Linked DNA regions of Arabidopsis thaliana. The protein of the gene in region 1 interacts with the protein of each later gene in a pairwise test. Each region holds a gene or a part of one and is shown in the gene's direction. Other genes may lie near its edges.

Region 1 (8,865 bases):
TTCATGAGTCATGACTATACAGTTTTGTCTAACTAAATAAGTATTGATGTAAAGTGGTATGTTTAGTTCAGTCCAAAAGTCACGACTCAACTGAGGTTTTGACTTCTCGTAGATGCAACAAATGCATCGTTATCAACCGACCATTTAATATACACGACATATATAATGAAACATTGCAAATTTGCAACCATTAATAAAATTCAACACATTTCATTATGGGTTTCGAGTTACGAATTAGCAACAACTACGCTTTAATTATATCGTTTATTAAAAATAAAATAAAAAATACTAATTAACGGACCGTGGATTTTTTTTTTGTGTGGACTCTATAATAAATAATTGTCTGTATTTACAATTTTCACAAATAATAATATTTTTTGGCAGAACTGAAACAATGAACCCCTAACTTTGATGACTGGATCTTCAATGATTAAACTAGTTGCCTAATCTCCCTTTTGTCTTTTCTCAACAAATTTTCTTTATTTTTGTTGCGCTCGATGAAAACCTAGCTTTGTATTGTTAATTTAACAGCCATTGTTATTTTTACTTTGACTTCCCATTTATTAATTTTAATTTATATATATATCCCACTAAGAATTTTTTTTATTTCGGAATGACTGTCCTATAAATTAGAATCCTAGGCAATGAGATTGTACTACATGATCAAATGATGAAAGTTCCCAATGTTTTTCGAACCATAGGGATCAACATTATAGGTGGTATTAGACATATGAATTTGTAACAACGAGGTAACCAAACTTATACTACTAACTTGCAATTTTTTTGAACAGCGAACTTTGGTGATCCAAACTAACAATTTACATATAATATTTCCGCAGTAGTTAAGTGATGGTTTAGAGATTTTATTTGCTTGATGCTTTCAACTTCATATGCAAAAACTAAATATATTTAATAATTTTTTACCAATTATATTTTATAATATATTATCTATTAGTTGAATCATTTGTAGTTAATGATATTTTTATGTAAAAAAAAAAAACTAAATAAGATTTTTGTGATTTTTAACAAAAACCTTAAACGTTTATTAAAATGAAACAGAGGAAATACTATTATATTGGAGTTGAGAAAAAATATTGCGTGCTCAGAAATAATTATGGCAAATGATACTAGCATACAAGGTAGTACAGTAGTGTTTAGTGGTTAAAATAACAAATGATTATTAGAACATGATCTTACTATGATTTGGCAATAGACTCAATACACACAGAAAGGTAAGTAGAGAGTGCATGACTTGTTTGGGGAAATTTATGGACGAAGAGAAGTCCCAATTATTATGTCTTTCACCCTCGAGCCTTGTGCTTACCCTTCACTTTCTCTCTCTACCTATTCATCTCTCTTACAGGATAAAACTAGAAGTCAATCATTATCCTTGTTAGCTAGTGTATCTACTCCTGATGGCAAAAACAATTTACTAGTATTGCCAACTAGGAGTACGATTTTTCTTGTTAATTGGCTAATACTGATGGCAAAAACAATTTACTGAGATATTGCTCCTGGCTTAGTATTGCTCAACCAAAACTTTAGATGAATACGAAAGTACACATCTCGATTCTCTATCGCCTTGTCTAAGAGGATGTAAAATATTCTTGAAACGAGAGCGTTTGTATTCAGCAAAAAAACATAGCCAAAATTAGAGTTTCTTGTTGGTAAAAAAAACAAATATGAGTTTAAATTTGGATCAAGTAATGGTTGTCCAAATAGTTGTTGTCATTTTAGTCTAAACTATAAATTACTTTTCGTTGGATACAATTTTTTAAGTGACCACAACGAAATTTTCTTTACCGGCGATATATATAGACTCTAGAAATTAGTTGTCTGATTCAACCAAAAAATTTTCCGAACTAAAAAAATATATATATAAAAAATTTTGAGAATGATTTCAGTTCCGGTGGAGCCATATTGGCTCCCGTATGATGTTAAACGACAATAATTGGATGTAGATTTGTTAAAATTAACATAAGATTGACGCTAAGGTTCCTCATTCCTAACCATCAGTTTGTTAGCTTAAAGAAAAGTGATAATTACGCTCTTTCCGCCTAGAATGGCTTTTTGTCTTGTTGAATATATAAAGGAATGAAGTGACTCAAAGCTTCGTGGTAAAGTTAAGATATAGAAACTTTATTCGTATACACTATGTAAATACACGCAATATCTCAACTACCCTTTAATAGTTGTGTTATCAAATAATAAAATATATAATATGAGAAAATATGTTAAACACCTTCCTTTTCGGTCTTAATTAATGATCAATTTTGTTAAAATCGTTACAAAAGGGATAAGAAACAATCACCAACAGAGACAAAAATAACATTACCAACACATATAATACAACTCTCATTAGTGAACACTCATGTAACCAAAACTGTTAACCATTAGCGTATGATTGAGAACGATCCTCCCTCATAAAATATGTGAAAGTTATCTAAGGGAATGTTAAGATATAGTTTTTGTTTTATTCAAACACCGTTAGTTAAACTTGAAAGCATGCATGCTAATGTTTGGGATTCGATCCTATGCGAGAGATCAATCTTAAGAGAGGTTAAACTTCACATTCAATAATGTACCGGGAATGGAGACTTCAAGAATCATCGGCTTGATAGACCACTAATAAAAAAATGACAAAAACTAGAACATCCAAATATATGTCGTTCGAAAATGTAATTCCGTAGCTAGCTTATACAATTCTATACACAGAAGATATTTCGAATATAGACACATATAAGATGTTGCGGTAATGCAATTTTAAGTGTAGTTGGACATGGATTGGTGAGAAAAGTAAAGTGAAAAAAAGAAATAATTAAGGAAGAGGGGGCTATAGCTCTGAAACCCTAGACGAAAGCAACACTGCATTGCCAATAGTAGAAACAGTGCGATCACGAGATTCAACTCATTCCTACTTTCTTACTTCTTAGTATCCACTCCACTTGTAGTACTAGCTAGCTCCCTGCCACGTGGTCCTCTCCTCTTCTTTTAGCTTTATGGGCCTTGTAAAGCCCGCGGGCCCCATCTGCCCATCCCATGCACATGCATCACATTATGCTTTCTCTCTATCTACGAAATTACGAATATAAGTATACGTATAGAACACTTTTTACAATAACCAAGGGTCAAAGTTTTCTCGAGTCGGAGGATATGAACTAAATAGTACATTGTCTACCAGCGAAGCTTGAACATGAGATCTTGAGACACATTTCCTTTGGAAGGTACTGAATTGAGTGTTCATAGCGGTTCAAGGAACTCGATTAATTTAAAATACCTGAATTACCATTTTTTTGGGGATTCGTTGTGCTTTTTTAATCAATCTACCGGAAATGAAGACAAGTTTTGCTAAAAACGTAACACTTGAATATTGTAAATTTGTAACATAAAACTCTAAAACCTTAACAAATTAATACCTCTAATTAAAATAGAATACTCATAAAAATATAAAATGTAAAAGATACAAATATTGAATATCTTCTAATATAATTCTAAGATGCGAAAGATATAGTAGTCGAATTAAAGCAACCAATTTCAGCGTTTCCTTAAACTTATATTTCCAAAATATCATCTAGGACAGTTTGTTTTTTTTAAGAATCGAGACCCTCTACTAAACTCTTGCATTCAATTTGGTAGAATCACGTTTTGTGTAGGAGAGAAGTAGTGCTTTTGGTTTGTAGTGTAGAGTAGGGTAAACGTGAGTATATAAAACGTAGAGAGGCATATATTATACAGAGAGTGTGCTTTTAAAGAACGGACCGGCTGAAGAAAAAGATAACGTTGTTGTCTCCGTAAAGGTTACCAAGTATCACTGTCACGTGACCACCACCATTCCTCTTTTCACATCTTTCTCCTTTCGATATTGGTTATATTATAGTTAAGTTAGCATTTAGTTAAATTTACTATATATTAGTAAGCAATGAAGGGGATATTAGTACAAATCTGGACATGAAATGTAGGCCTTTATTTGATTGATTGTCTTGGTATAAACATTTCATATAATAGCTTTGTAGATTTATACAACCAATTAAATAATTAACACTTTACATATACAGAATAACATAAAATGTTTAGATCATATATTTTGTCATTTTGGATCAATAGAGAAAAACACTCATTGTTATTTTCTTATTTATACTTTTCTGTATCAGTCTATGTGTAAAGTACAAGTGGACCTGCCGTGAATGGCATAGAGCCCACGCTTTACTTGTAAAAGTATATTGGGCTTTACGGCCCACGGACCAATTTATGTTTTGCCATTGGTTTTTTTTTTGTTTGTTTTGTTGGGAGTTAAACCCACACATCTTCTTCGCAACTGTTAGTTGTGTGTGTTGTTGTTGTTGGCACTGTGCCACTTTCTCTCTCGATGAACCCTCTCAAGCAAGCTTCTTCGATCTTCCGAGCTTAGTTTCGTTTCTAAATGTAAGTTTTCAAGTTTTTGTTTCAGTAAGAAGATTGATAGACCTAATTATTTGTTCCCCTTCTATATAGTAGAGATTTCACCTAGATTGGTCCGTACATATCTTATACTGGGATTCGAATTTGGCTGCCTCAGAGTCAGAGATTGATTAATTGATCAGGTCACCGGAAACTTTTTGTCTCGATTTGGATCTCTTATGCAAAATCTGTTGTGTCCTAATTCTATTTGATTGTAAATCAATTTGATTCTGGGTTTATTACAGATTCAGCTGTTGAAATCGTGCTTATTGCTACAAATTGAGAGGCACTAAATCAGTGAGGTCGTAAAGAAGAAGGCAACCACAATGATGCAGACTTGTTGTATCCATCAATCGTTTTGTTTCCCTCATAGGTATTTTGTGTTGCCATAAGTTTATAAGCTTTCTCATTTGCTTCATTGTCAGAATATGTTATTTTGGATTCTTGAATATTAATTTTGCAGAGTCTTTCCACGGTTTGATGCTTCGATTGGTATTAAGCCCCCAAAGCTTTGTCAAGTTGGTTTCATTGGAAAGACTCAATCTTATGGGATTTCAAGTCCGATACGGCAAAGAAGATTATATGTGAATTTGAATGCTAATGATGGTCACCCATCCATGTCTATGTTGGAAGAAGAAACCTCTACTGAAAACAACGCACCCAGTCAAGAAGCCGAGCTTCCGTTCAGCAAATGGTCACCTTCTAAGTACATATGGAGAGGTTTATCAGTTCCTATTATAGCAGGACAAGTCGTTCTCCGGATTTTAAAGGGTAAGATTCACTGGAGAAACACTCTTCAACAGCTGGAGAGAACCGGACCGAAATCTCTAGGAGTTTGTCTTCTGACTTCTACATTTGTTGGTATGGCTTTCACAATCCAGTTCGTTAGAGAATTCACTAGACTAGGTCTAAACAGATCCATTGGAGGTGTCTTGGCTTTAGCCTTCTCTAGAGAGCTAAGTCCAGTCATCACATCGATTGTTGTTGCTGGACGAATGGGAAGTGCATTTGCAGCTGAACTAGGGACAATGCAAGTCTCAGAGCAAACTGATACACTCCGTGTTTTAGGAGCTGACCCAATTGATTATCTAATCACTCCAAGAGTCATCGCCTCGTGTTTGGCTCTACCGTTTCTGACACTCATGTGTTTCACTGTTGGTATGGCTTCAAGCGCTCTGCTCTCTGATGCAGTTTACGGGATCAGCATTAACATAATCATGGACTCGGCTCACCGAGCACTTAGACCATGGGACATTGTGAGTGCCATGATTAAATCTCAAGTCTTTGGAGCTATAATATCGGTAATTAGTTGTTCTTGGGGAGTAACCACTACTGGAGGTGCTAAAGGTGTTGGAGAATCTACAACTTCTGCTGTCGTCATGTCTCTTGTCGGAATCTTCATCGCGGACTTTGTGCTTTCTTCCTTCTTCTTTCAAGGTGCTGGAGATTCTTTGAAGAACTGTGTTTGACATATTATTTTCTGTCTTCTTTTGTTGTGGTTTAGATGGGTTTATGTAAATCAGTTGTCTTAAATTGAGAAAGTAACATCATTTTAGAAAGAACAGAAAGATTGCTATATTTCTATTCCAATAATGATACACATTGAATAATCTTGAACTATATAGTTCATCGGAAAATTTGCAATCAGTATGGGCGGAGTTAAAATGTTATGCTATGAACTTATGACATAACATCTTATTTGACCAAGCAGATATAACATGGTAAAACCAAACTAGCTTACTTGACCAATAATCCAAAAAAAATAAGCATGAAGTTTTGAAAAAATGTTGAAAACTGGAAAAACTTGGCCAATCTCTTGACTTTTCTCTTCACCTGCCGCTTTGCATACGACTCGACGCTTCCTCAAAATGAACCATCTTTGTCCTACGAGGGTACGAGCCTGTCTCATCGTCTCGAGCCGCCAAACCAGCTTCTATAACCAAAGCTTCAAGATCAGCTCCACTAAAATTCTCACAACGCCTAGCTATAGCATCCAAATCAACACTTGTGTCTAAAGGAATCTTCCTCGCAAGAGATTTCAGAATCAAACCTCGTTGAACAGAGTTTGGAAGAGGTATATAGATATGTTTCCCAAACCTCCCTGGTCTTGTAATCGCAGGATCCATCATCTCCGGTCTATTCGTTGCACCAATCACAAACACTCCATCTCGTTCTTTTCCACCGCTCATTTCATTGAGCAACTGAGTCAATGGTCTTTCAACAACCCAAGCACCTTCTCCTGACCCACGTTTTGTTGTCAATGCATCAACCTCGTCGAAGAAGATTATGCACGGTGAACACATCCTTGCAAGGTTAAATAGCTCCCTAATCGCTTTCTCGCTATCTCCAACGTATTTGCTCAAAGCTCCGGTCCCTCGACACGGATAAAGTTGGTTTCTGCTTTGTTAGCCACGGCTTTGGCAACTAATGTTTTACCACAACCAGGTGGTCCATATAGCAAAAAATCCCTCCCTGAACAGAACTTGAATCCCTCGCACTCTTCTGGATATTTCAACGGTTTGATTATATCGCTATAAAACTCCTTTCTTATATGATCAAGACCGCCAATATCTTCCCATGTTACACTAGGAGTAGTAGAGAATCCTTCTCTTGTTAACGAAGGTTTAAACTTTTTCAATGCTTCCTCAAAATCCGAGATAGTGTAGAAAAGTTTCTCTATCACTTGTGGTGGAAATGGACATGGCTGCATACTCAACAAAGAATCAATATCAGTTCCAAGTTCTGATCCTCTTGATTTCACTAATCTCTCCATTGCCACATTTGCAGCTTCCTTAACCAAAAGTGCTAGATCCGCTCCAACAAATCCTGAAGTCTTACGAACAATCCTTGCAATATCAAAACTTGGGTCAAGAGGACGGTTCCGTAGTATCAAAGTAAGAATCTCTTCTCTTGCCTTCTCATCTGGCATTCCGAGACAAAAATCCTTGTCGAATCGTAGTGACCTTCACAAAGCTGGATCAAGAGCTTCAGGTCTATTGGTAGCTGAAATAACGATAACATGGCCGCTAGTTTCAGAACCAGACTCTCTCATCTTTTGAAGCATATACTCTTGGTCCATACAATTCATCAACTGTGTAACAATACGAGTCTCCATACCCTTTTGCTGATGATTATCCCTCTTTGACGCAATCGCCTCAATCTCATCGATAAAGATAATCGAAGGAGCAGTTCTATACGCTTTAGAGAAGAGTTTTCTTATATTCTCTTCAGATTCACCCGAAACACCAGAAACAACCTCAGAAGCAGAGATCATATGAAAAGGAACACCAGTTTCATTAGCAATGGCATGCACGAGCCAATGTAGACTTGCCACAACCAGGTGGACCATGAAGTAAAATCCCAGAAATTGGCTTCTCTTGAAGACGTTCATGCATTTCAGGAAAAAGCAGAGGATTCTTTACTCAATTCGTTAGGTCATGCAATATCTCCTTTAACCCACCAAGATCCTTAAATTTCTTACCTTTTTTATTCTTATTCCCTATCTCTAATTCCACATCTGAAACCCTAATATGTTTCCTTGTATCATACGAAGCCCTAAGGTTTTCATTTATCAAATCAAACTGTGGAGTTGACTTACCACTATCATCTAATACATTTCCGTCCCCACGGCATCAGACCACGACGATCCTGAAGGTGAAGCTGTGGCGGCTCTCTTCCGTGATTTTGATCTTGCATTGCTTTCTTCTTCGTCTTTGTCGCTTACATTTCTGGATTGAAGGGTTTGGTTGACGTTAAGTAGCAGAACATGACGACTCAATCGAGCCCATTCACGGTCCTTTGAACGGAGCTCATTGACTATTTCCTCTGCCGTTGATCCCTTCTCAGATGACTGGAGAACTAGGTTTTGAAATCTCCGATTTGAAACGCCGCCGCTCCGACCTCTTTTCACCATCGTCGACTTTGGTATTTGTCAAATTATTTAGGTTAAATTTTCGTAGTTATATCTTGACAAGTTCACAATCCATCTTTTGCCGCGTAATTCATATTGGGCTACAATAAAGCCCAATAATAAAGTTTAGTCACAGCTCGTTTGCACAAACCAAAAGACATAGCGATGCGCCGTTGCAGACCAGCTAACATGACATTCATGTAATATATATGCACAATGTATAAAGTATTAAAGTATGAACCACTAAACACAACAATTAAACTCCTTTTCTTTAGCTAAATAAATTGATCATCTATAGTTTATTGGTCATCGTCTTTTGGTCTAAAGCAAAATTCATACGGCGACTATTAATTTTGAAAACAATTTTGGATTTTAACATGAATACCCCAATCAGCAAAACAATAAATAGAAAAATAGAATATGAATGGGATGGGTTTTAGGTCGTGCATGTGCATACATAATTGCAATGGCAGGAATATTAATTGAGGAAGCCTTAATTGGCTATGGTACTGTCCTTA
Region 2 (7,980 bases), on another chromosome or scaffold:
GTTGTTTCATTAGTAATATTTCTTCAGTAATTGGAGGGTTTATGACTAACACTTAGTCAAATGTTTCTTTACCAGGTTTATAGATATTTATGGGACGCATATAATTGTTAGTGTTAAGATGGGAGGAAAAGATGTGATTTATGCAAAACAACAACACTCCTCAAAACTTCAGCCTGAGGATCTGCAGAAAAGGTTAAAAGAGGTGGCAGATAAGAGGTTCGTGGAAGCTAGCGTAGTGCATAATACGGGTTCAGAAAGAGTACAAGCAAGTAGTAAGGTCTGTGAAATAGTTATTATTATTTTTGTTTCCCATCATCAAAACTTTCTTGTTTGTGCATGTCATAAATGTTTTGGCTATTTGACATATAGAAGAATTTCTACTAACAATCTAGTGTTTCGACTCTTAAGTCTGTAATTCCTGTCTTTTATTCCTGGTTTCAGGTGGAAACAAAGGAGCAACGCCTGAGATTTGCAGATACCAGTTCTTTGGGCTCTTATGCAAATAAGGAGGTAATTTCTATTGGTACCATAGCTTATCATAAAGACATGTAATCTGTGTGTTAGCTTCTTTTCTCAGGAGTTACATGTTTTTTGTAGGACTATGTCTTCATGTGCAAGAGGCGAGGTGGAAACGATAACAGAAATCTAATGCATAATGAATGGCTGCAAACAGTTCAGATGGAGCCTGATGTTATCTCCATGTCTTTTATTCCAATTACGTCTTTGCTTAATGGAGTTCCAGGAAGTGGATTCTTAAGCCATGCCATAAATCTGTATCTAAGATGTAAGCCTATAAATCATTTGCGCTTTGTGCATTTCTTTCTGGAGTTATTCTTCATACTAGTGGTTTCTTTTACCTTTAGATTAGAAGTTTGATATAGGTAAAATTAGAATAGTATAATCCCAAATCTTGCGTAATCTCCAAGTCCAGCTGGGTAGTTAGGTTGATACATAGGAGCATAACTTGAAAATTATAGTATTTTTATAAGTCGAAGATGATTTTTTCTGCCATCTGTTATATGATCCGCGTAAGATGAACATACTATAAACGAAAAGCCTTGGGTTAACAATCCAACATTAACTGAGATTTGTAGATAAGCCACCAATTGAAGAGCTGCATCAGTTTCTCGAGTTTCAGCTACCAAGGCAGTGGGCACCCGTTTTTAGTGAACTTCCTCTTGGTCCGCAACGAAAGCAACAAAGTTGTGCGTCTCTGCAATTCAGTTTCTTTGGACCTAAGCTATACGTGAATACCACTCCGGTATGGGTTTGTTTCATCCCTGAATATGTAGCTTGCTGATGCAGGTTTATTTGGTCAGTCAAGTCTGATCTCATTAACCCTGTGTGGTTAGATTTTGTTTAAAGTCCTCCAGTCCTGAGATGCTCGTTCTCGTTTGTCTGGTTTCAGGTTGATGTTGGTAAGAGGCCAATCACTGGCATGCGGCTCTACCTAGAGGGTAGAAGAAGCAACCGTTTGGCAATTCATTTGCAACACCTTTCCTCTCTTCCCAAGATATATCAGCTCGAAGACGATCTAAATAGAAGTATCCGGCAAGAGTCTCATGACCGTCGATACTATGAGAAAGTAAACTGGAAGAACTACTCTCACGTCTGCACAGAGCCTGTCGAATCAGATGATGATCTTTCTGTAGTAACAGGTGCGCAGCTTCATGTAGAGAGCCACGGATTCAAGAACGTGCTCTTCTTGCGCCTTTGTTTCTCTAGAGTTGTGGGAGCAACACTGGTAAAGAATTCTGAATGGGATGAAGCGGTAGGCTTTGCTCCAAAATCAGGACTCATCTCAACGCTAATAAGCCATCACTTCACTGCAGCACAAAAACCACCACCACGACCTGCAGACGTGAATATAAATTCGGCTATATATCCTGGTGGACCACCAGTACCCACGCAAGCTCCAAAACTTTTGAAATTTGTGGATACAAGTGAGATGACAAGAGGGCCGCAAGAATCACCCGGGTATTGGGTTGTATCGGGTGCAAGATTATTGGTGGAGAAAGGCAAAATCTCATTGAAGGTGAAGTATTCTCTATTTACTCCAATATTGGGAGATGAAGTGATCGAGGAAGCCTATGAAGGTTAAGAGAAAATGGTGGTGGTGTGGCTCAGAGACAATGAGAGAAAATAGGATGAGTGGTATGTTTATGTCTGTACGTGTACATTCTTAAGGTTTTGTCGTTTGTAATGTTAATGGTGTGGATGTCTAATATGCCACTGTAAAACTTATATACACGAGAAGTTGGGATCGTGGATATCAAATTTATGGGTTTGAATAGTGACATTGACAAGTTTTGGTACAGCAAAAGAAAAATACAACAAGAAGAACTTAGTAAATATATAAATCAGATCAGCAGGTAGATTTAATCAAGTTTTTCTGTTTATAAATTTATCCCTTGAGGAGATTATAATGGAACAAAGTTTTTCTAGTCCTTATGTGGCCAAGCTCACAATTTTCCTCAACCATTTAAAACAAAAAAAAATTCTAATCCCTATTACCAAACACTTTTATTTCCAAGTATTTAAATATTATTTCTGTTTATTTTCTTAACTCAATTGTCAAACACACAAAAGTTTTTTAATATGTAAAGTTACCATATTTAAATATTTCGAATTTTTATAACCAAATATAGATATTTTGAATATATATTATATTAAAATGCATCGTTTTGTTATAATTGAAATAATCACTAAATTATATGACTAACAATTGTATCACTTTTTACTTGGCATTCCATTTATACATAAATTAATAGAAAGATGATTAAATAAATTATTTTTAGCATTTACAACTAATTATAAAAGAGATTATGAAATCTCTATGTTATCTAATTAGAATATTTATCTAAATAAACAAACCATTATATGAATTCATACATTTAAAACAACAAAATACTTTTTTTTGGTAATAATAACAGTTATAGTTAAATTCCAATACTAAGATTTGGCAAGTCTTCAAAATATATTCAAACTCAAAAATTTTATATTGTTTCACTAACTATCCATCTATAGACTATAATGCATACATTAAATATATTAATCTTAACAGAACAAAATTTTCAATTAATTTTGAATATATTATGCACGAGTCGTTACCTAGTACCAAATGAACTATGTGTTATTTTTCAACAAAGAGAAGTTTGTGTATTTTTTGGATAAAAGAGAAGTTTATGTTAAGAAGTTGAATTAAAGAAAACTGATCTCGAAAGCTCCTCCCCAAATAATGATGAGGAATCAAAATGGGCATCACTCAAACAGCTGCATATCGAACTCTGCTTGAAGACTGCTGGTTCTGGTGTAAGACGAGGAGTGGAGGGAGGAGAGACAATTTTTTCCAGTCTTATCACAGTCTAACGATGATGCCAAAAAGAAAGGCTATGCACTTAAGATGCGCCAAGATCCTCCGGAACTAGGAGAACACTACGGTGATATAAAAATAAAGGCGACAGATGGTTATGAAGGCTTATGAGCTGGCATACTTCTCTGATTTTTTTTTATATTGGTTTTAGCACGAGAGTTTGTTAGGGTATATTGGGTAAGCATGAATGTATAACAGTAAGTGAACCTAAAAGCAATAAAAAAAACTCTTGGGATAACATTCAAGATGAAGTAAATTGAGTTTTTTTTGTTAAGATGATAGCATCTACATTCAAAATGTGTTAATACTCCATGAATAATAATACCAAGTTTAATTTTCTGGAGCTCATGTTTTATCTAAAGAGAACGATGCGCATGACATTCACCTAAAAAAACTTTGGACTAAGTCAAGAAGCTTCGACCAATTTGCTTTAGGTTCAACCTGAGAGAGAATAAGCTATGAGAGTTTCAACATAGCAGAGCAGTGAGTGCCACAAGAAACATAATAATGCCCTAGAAACATCTAATGACTGACTAATCTGGACACGAGACTTTTGCACATACCTGGAATTCACCTGCCACAAATTTCAACACAGACATCATAATTTTAAGATTTAGTGATGTTTTTGCCTCCTTGGACGGAAACAGTAAAGAAAGTACCTGGCGGGAGAACTGGATACAAAACAAGACAGTCAAGGCGTACGAGAGAGAGAGACAGAGACAGAGCCACAGAAGGACATGTAAACTTGGGAAAGTCACCTTATAAAAATGACATTTTGGCAACGGGGATACAGAATATTCCTCTAGTGTAGAGATGCAAAAAGAATGCACAAAAGCCTCATCGAAACGCTCTGCTTCTCTAATTACCGAGAGAGCACACTCTCCCATATCTGACAAGACCAGCTTGAGAAACTTATGGTGTTCATTGGCATCCAAATACCTAGAAAAAAAAGAAGAAGAAGAAGTGAAACTTGTTGACTTGTACAGCAAGGGAAGCATAAGTCTCACGGTTTTATTTACCTTAGCCAGGGTTTTAGCCCTTGTAGAAGAGAAATGCCCCTCAAGTATTGGAGATCGTTCATATCCCGCGACATTGCTACAGACCTGACGATGGACGCCACAACCATGAGTTGGACTCTTGCCAGTTTAGCTCCTCCAAATTCGGGATCTGGTAAAAACGGTACACCTTTGGACTCGGGTTCTCTAACTCTAAAACCATCGTCGTAGGCGGGTCCTTTAAGGTGGTCAAGGACTCTAAAACCATCGTTGTAGGCGTGAGTGAACCAACCCCAGGCCTGGTAACAGTGAATCAGCCCGACTCTCTGAAGCTGGACGGCTAGAGGATCGTAGGAGACCAATTCGCAGCATTCCAAACAGAAATCATACGCGCGGAACAAATCCCTAGGGGATCCTTGGGTGAGGCGTTTATGCAGGAAACACACGGATTTGATGATGAAGGGGATGAATTGCTGCGAGATGGATCCAACGGGAGACCTTTTTTAGTGGAATTAGGTTTACTTTTTTAGTTCCCACCAAAGAGTGCGAATCTCTTTAAAGTTAACGTAACATGCAAATCGATTTTAAAGTTTTTTGTTTAAAGTTGGAGACGAGTAAGAACGAGAGTAATATATAATCAACTTTGAAAGTCTCAACTCTCAAGAAGGAATCAAAAGAGACCCATTGACTTCTCAAAAGTCAAAACATTGATCACGTCAACAACCATCTTCTACACTTAATCGCACGTTCTTCTTGGTATATATTATGATCATAATCATCCATTAATTCTCGAAACAAATAAGAAAAACGAAAGAATATGTCTTCACCATCTTCCCTAACGCAGAGAAACCCAACTAGTTCGCAAGAGCAATCGGAGTCTGTTCCACAGCTAAGGAGGCAGACATCTCAACATGCAGTCATGTCACAGACGCTAACCTCAGCTGCAAACCTGGCAAATCTCCTTCCAACCGGAACGCTCTTAGCTTTCACGCTCCTCATACCCGTCTTTACATCCAATGGTTCATGCGATTACCCGACCCAGGTTTTAACCATAGTGCTCCTCACGCTTCTCTCCATCTCCTGCTTCCTTAGCTCCTTCACTGACAGCGTCAAGGCTGAAGACGGTAACGTTTATTACGGTTTTGCTACTCGTAAGGGCATGTGGGTTTTCGACTACCCTGACCCTGACGGTTTGGGTTTACCCAATCTTAGTAAATACCGGATAAGAATTATTGACTGGATCCACGCCGTTTTGTCGGTTCTTGTGTTTGGTGCGGTGGCTCTGAGGGACAAGAACGCCGTGAGTTGTTTTTATCCGGCGCCAGAGCAAGAAACCAAGAAGGTTTTGGACATTGTTCCAATGGGTGTTGGGGTTATCTGTGGCATGTTGTTCTTGGTTTTTCCGGCGAGAAGGCACGGTATTGGATATCCGGTCACCGGAGACGGGGGTCGTCGTTAGATTTGTTATTTATTTCCAAATAGATATAAGCAATTTGATTATTTAATGTTTGGTTGACTAATTCGCTTGTGCATGTGATCATTTCGTGTTTGTCTCATCTACTTCCAATTCTAATAATGATTTTAATTTTGTTCTTTGTTTAGTGGACAATTATTTACGCAAGCAATCTTATTATACGTTCTGCTTGGTCATAAACTAATAATACACTTAGAGGTGTGAAATGCTTAAGATGCCTTGTCTAATTGAGTTAACACACGATATCAATAAACTGAAAGCTATAAAAAAAAAAACTTGGTTAATTGTTTGATCAGGAAGTGGCTGAACTGAGAGGACCATCCAGGTTGGGACCTTTCAAAAGAGCATGTGGACAACACAGTTCTTGTAAGACTCACACTTGTCATGTTGTTTACTCTGACTTTCATCTCTTGCCATGTTTATTTGAGACATACATGCGTCTTCCCAAAGGAAATAAGAAAACCTGTGGAGGTTTATAAATTCCTTTCTCTGCATCCGTTTTACTTACTTGCAAAATGCAGAGACTCTGTAGCCACTAGCTAAACACCGTTGCTAGCTAGGTAATATGCGAGATCTTGAGTTCTGTTTACTCCAATTGCTGGCAGAGTCGGTCAAGGACTCAAACACAAAATCTTGCACAATGATACCATATCAGCAACCAATTCCATACTCGATTAAGCTGTCCTTACTCGCCCTAGTCATAGCAACTCATTAATTCGACACTACTACTATCCTCTCTGATCAAAGACTGCTGTTATGTGCATAAATTTCACCATCTTCACAAGCTTTGATTACTCTCTTTTTTCGGTTGCTTCTCTCAACTCCATGAACATAGTCTCGTTTCTTCCCTCTCCCTGATTTGCTCATAAGATAAATGTACTGATGTCTGATCCCCATCAATGGATGCTTCTCCAGCAAGAAAACTTTGTGGTAAGCTTCCCTTAGAACAACAGTCTGGGTCCGAATCTTGTGCGACATGTAAAATATACCCGGGTGGTGCACCAAAGCCTTCTTGAACCTCATCCCGAACCCTAAATACTCCCCTAAGCAAATCACATTGTCTGTCTCAGTCTTCTTAGATACTAAAAGGAACAAAAGCTCATGAAGTACTGCGACAGCCCACTTCTCAGCCTGATCACTGTACGACCCCAAGTGAAAAGCATTTTCATAAGGCGAAATGTATGGGAGATTTTGCCATTGCTCCACCCAATTCTTCACCCTTTTATGCAATTCGTACCCTTTGGGGAAATTCATCGAATACCTTATGCGCAACCCTTTTTTCACACGAGACCCATCAATGGTGGCTTCTCTTCTCTCCATTTCCGACACAGGAAGGTTGTTCCGCCGCGAAGATATCGTCAAAGCAAGCGTCTTTTCACCCGTTAACCGATCTTTGATCTCAGTTACTTCAAAGTATTCCGGGTAATCGCCGATCAACGAAGTAATGTAATCGCGAGGGAGACCCAAATCGAACCTGAAACGATCGAGGACATAGAGAGGAAGACTTCCAGCTCCCGTTAGCATCAAGAATTTAGTCAACCGTTGAACAGTGACGTTGCGTTGAGGCGGCGAGAGATGAATCGTCTCTTCTTCTTTGTGGAGAGTGAGAGCTTGGGGAGTGAGACGAACATGGAGAGGATGAGAAGGAGAAGGCTGAAAAGTGGTGAAGACAGAAGGGTATTTCTGGAAAAACGCGGCGGCGGTTATGTGAAGATTGACGAGAGGTTTGAGAAGTGAAAGAGAAGAGAGAGGGAGTGATTTCGACGGAGATGATACGATTCGATCCTTGAGAGAGATAACTTGCTTTAGGTTTTTCTCTCGTTGAACAGCTTCGTCGAGGTAATGGTCACTGACCCATTTGACTCTGGCGTTTACGAAGGTGCGTCTTTGTTGCAGAGCTCTCGCTAGCTTTGTTGTTGCAGCTGCCATTAGAACGCTAAGTGCAATGTTATGAACAGAGAGCTATTTATAACTCTACTACATATGACTTTTGCTATTAATACTGAAATTGGAACACTTGGTTTTGCATAACTAACTGAGAATAAAGGATGTTACTTCAGTGAACAAAGAAGTCAAGGCCTATAACTTCAAAACTCATCTTATGATTCAAAGAGGTCCCGGAGGATTATCGGAAGTAA

The links.
Region 2: the proteins of ABCI14 (region 1) and AT4G24310 interact in a protein complementation assay, tested with the Arabidopsis thaliana proteins (one large-scale study listed by BioGRID).

What each region holds. Positions count from the first base shown.
Region 1 is NC_003070.9:6,842,049-6,850,913, forward strand, and holds ABCI14 (trigalactosyldiacylglycerol 1), read left to right. Parts: upstream 1-4,289; 5' UTR 4,290-4,422; exon of another isoform or gene 4,423-4,494; 5' UTR 4,495-4,580; exon of another isoform or gene 4,581-4,682; 5' UTR 4,683-4,763; coding exon 4,764-4,810; intron 4,811-4,900; coding exon 4,901-5,906; 3' UTR 5,907-6,074; downstream 6,075-8,865. UniProt on the Arabidopsis thaliana protein: Required during embryogenesis. Permease involved in lipid transfer from the endoplasmic reticulum (ER) to plastids, and necessary for thylakoids formation.
Region 2 is NC_003075.7:12,595,715-12,603,694, forward strand, and holds AT4G24310 (transmembrane protein, putative (DUF679)), read left to right. Parts: upstream 1-5,088; 5' UTR 5,089-5,185; coding exon 5,186-5,827; 3' UTR 5,828-6,012; downstream 6,013-7,980. Other genes in the region: AT4G24290 (MAC/Perforin domain-containing protein), read left to right, coding at 76-277, 442-510, 598-784, 1,095-1,261, 1,409-2,101; AT4G24300 (Peptidase C50, separase), read right to left, coding at 3,266-3,307, 3,937-4,044, 4,132-4,312, 4,393-4,499; AT4G24320 (Ubiquitin carboxyl-terminal hydrolase family protein), read right to left, coding at 6,584-7,771. UniProt on the Arabidopsis thaliana protein: Involved in membrane remodeling.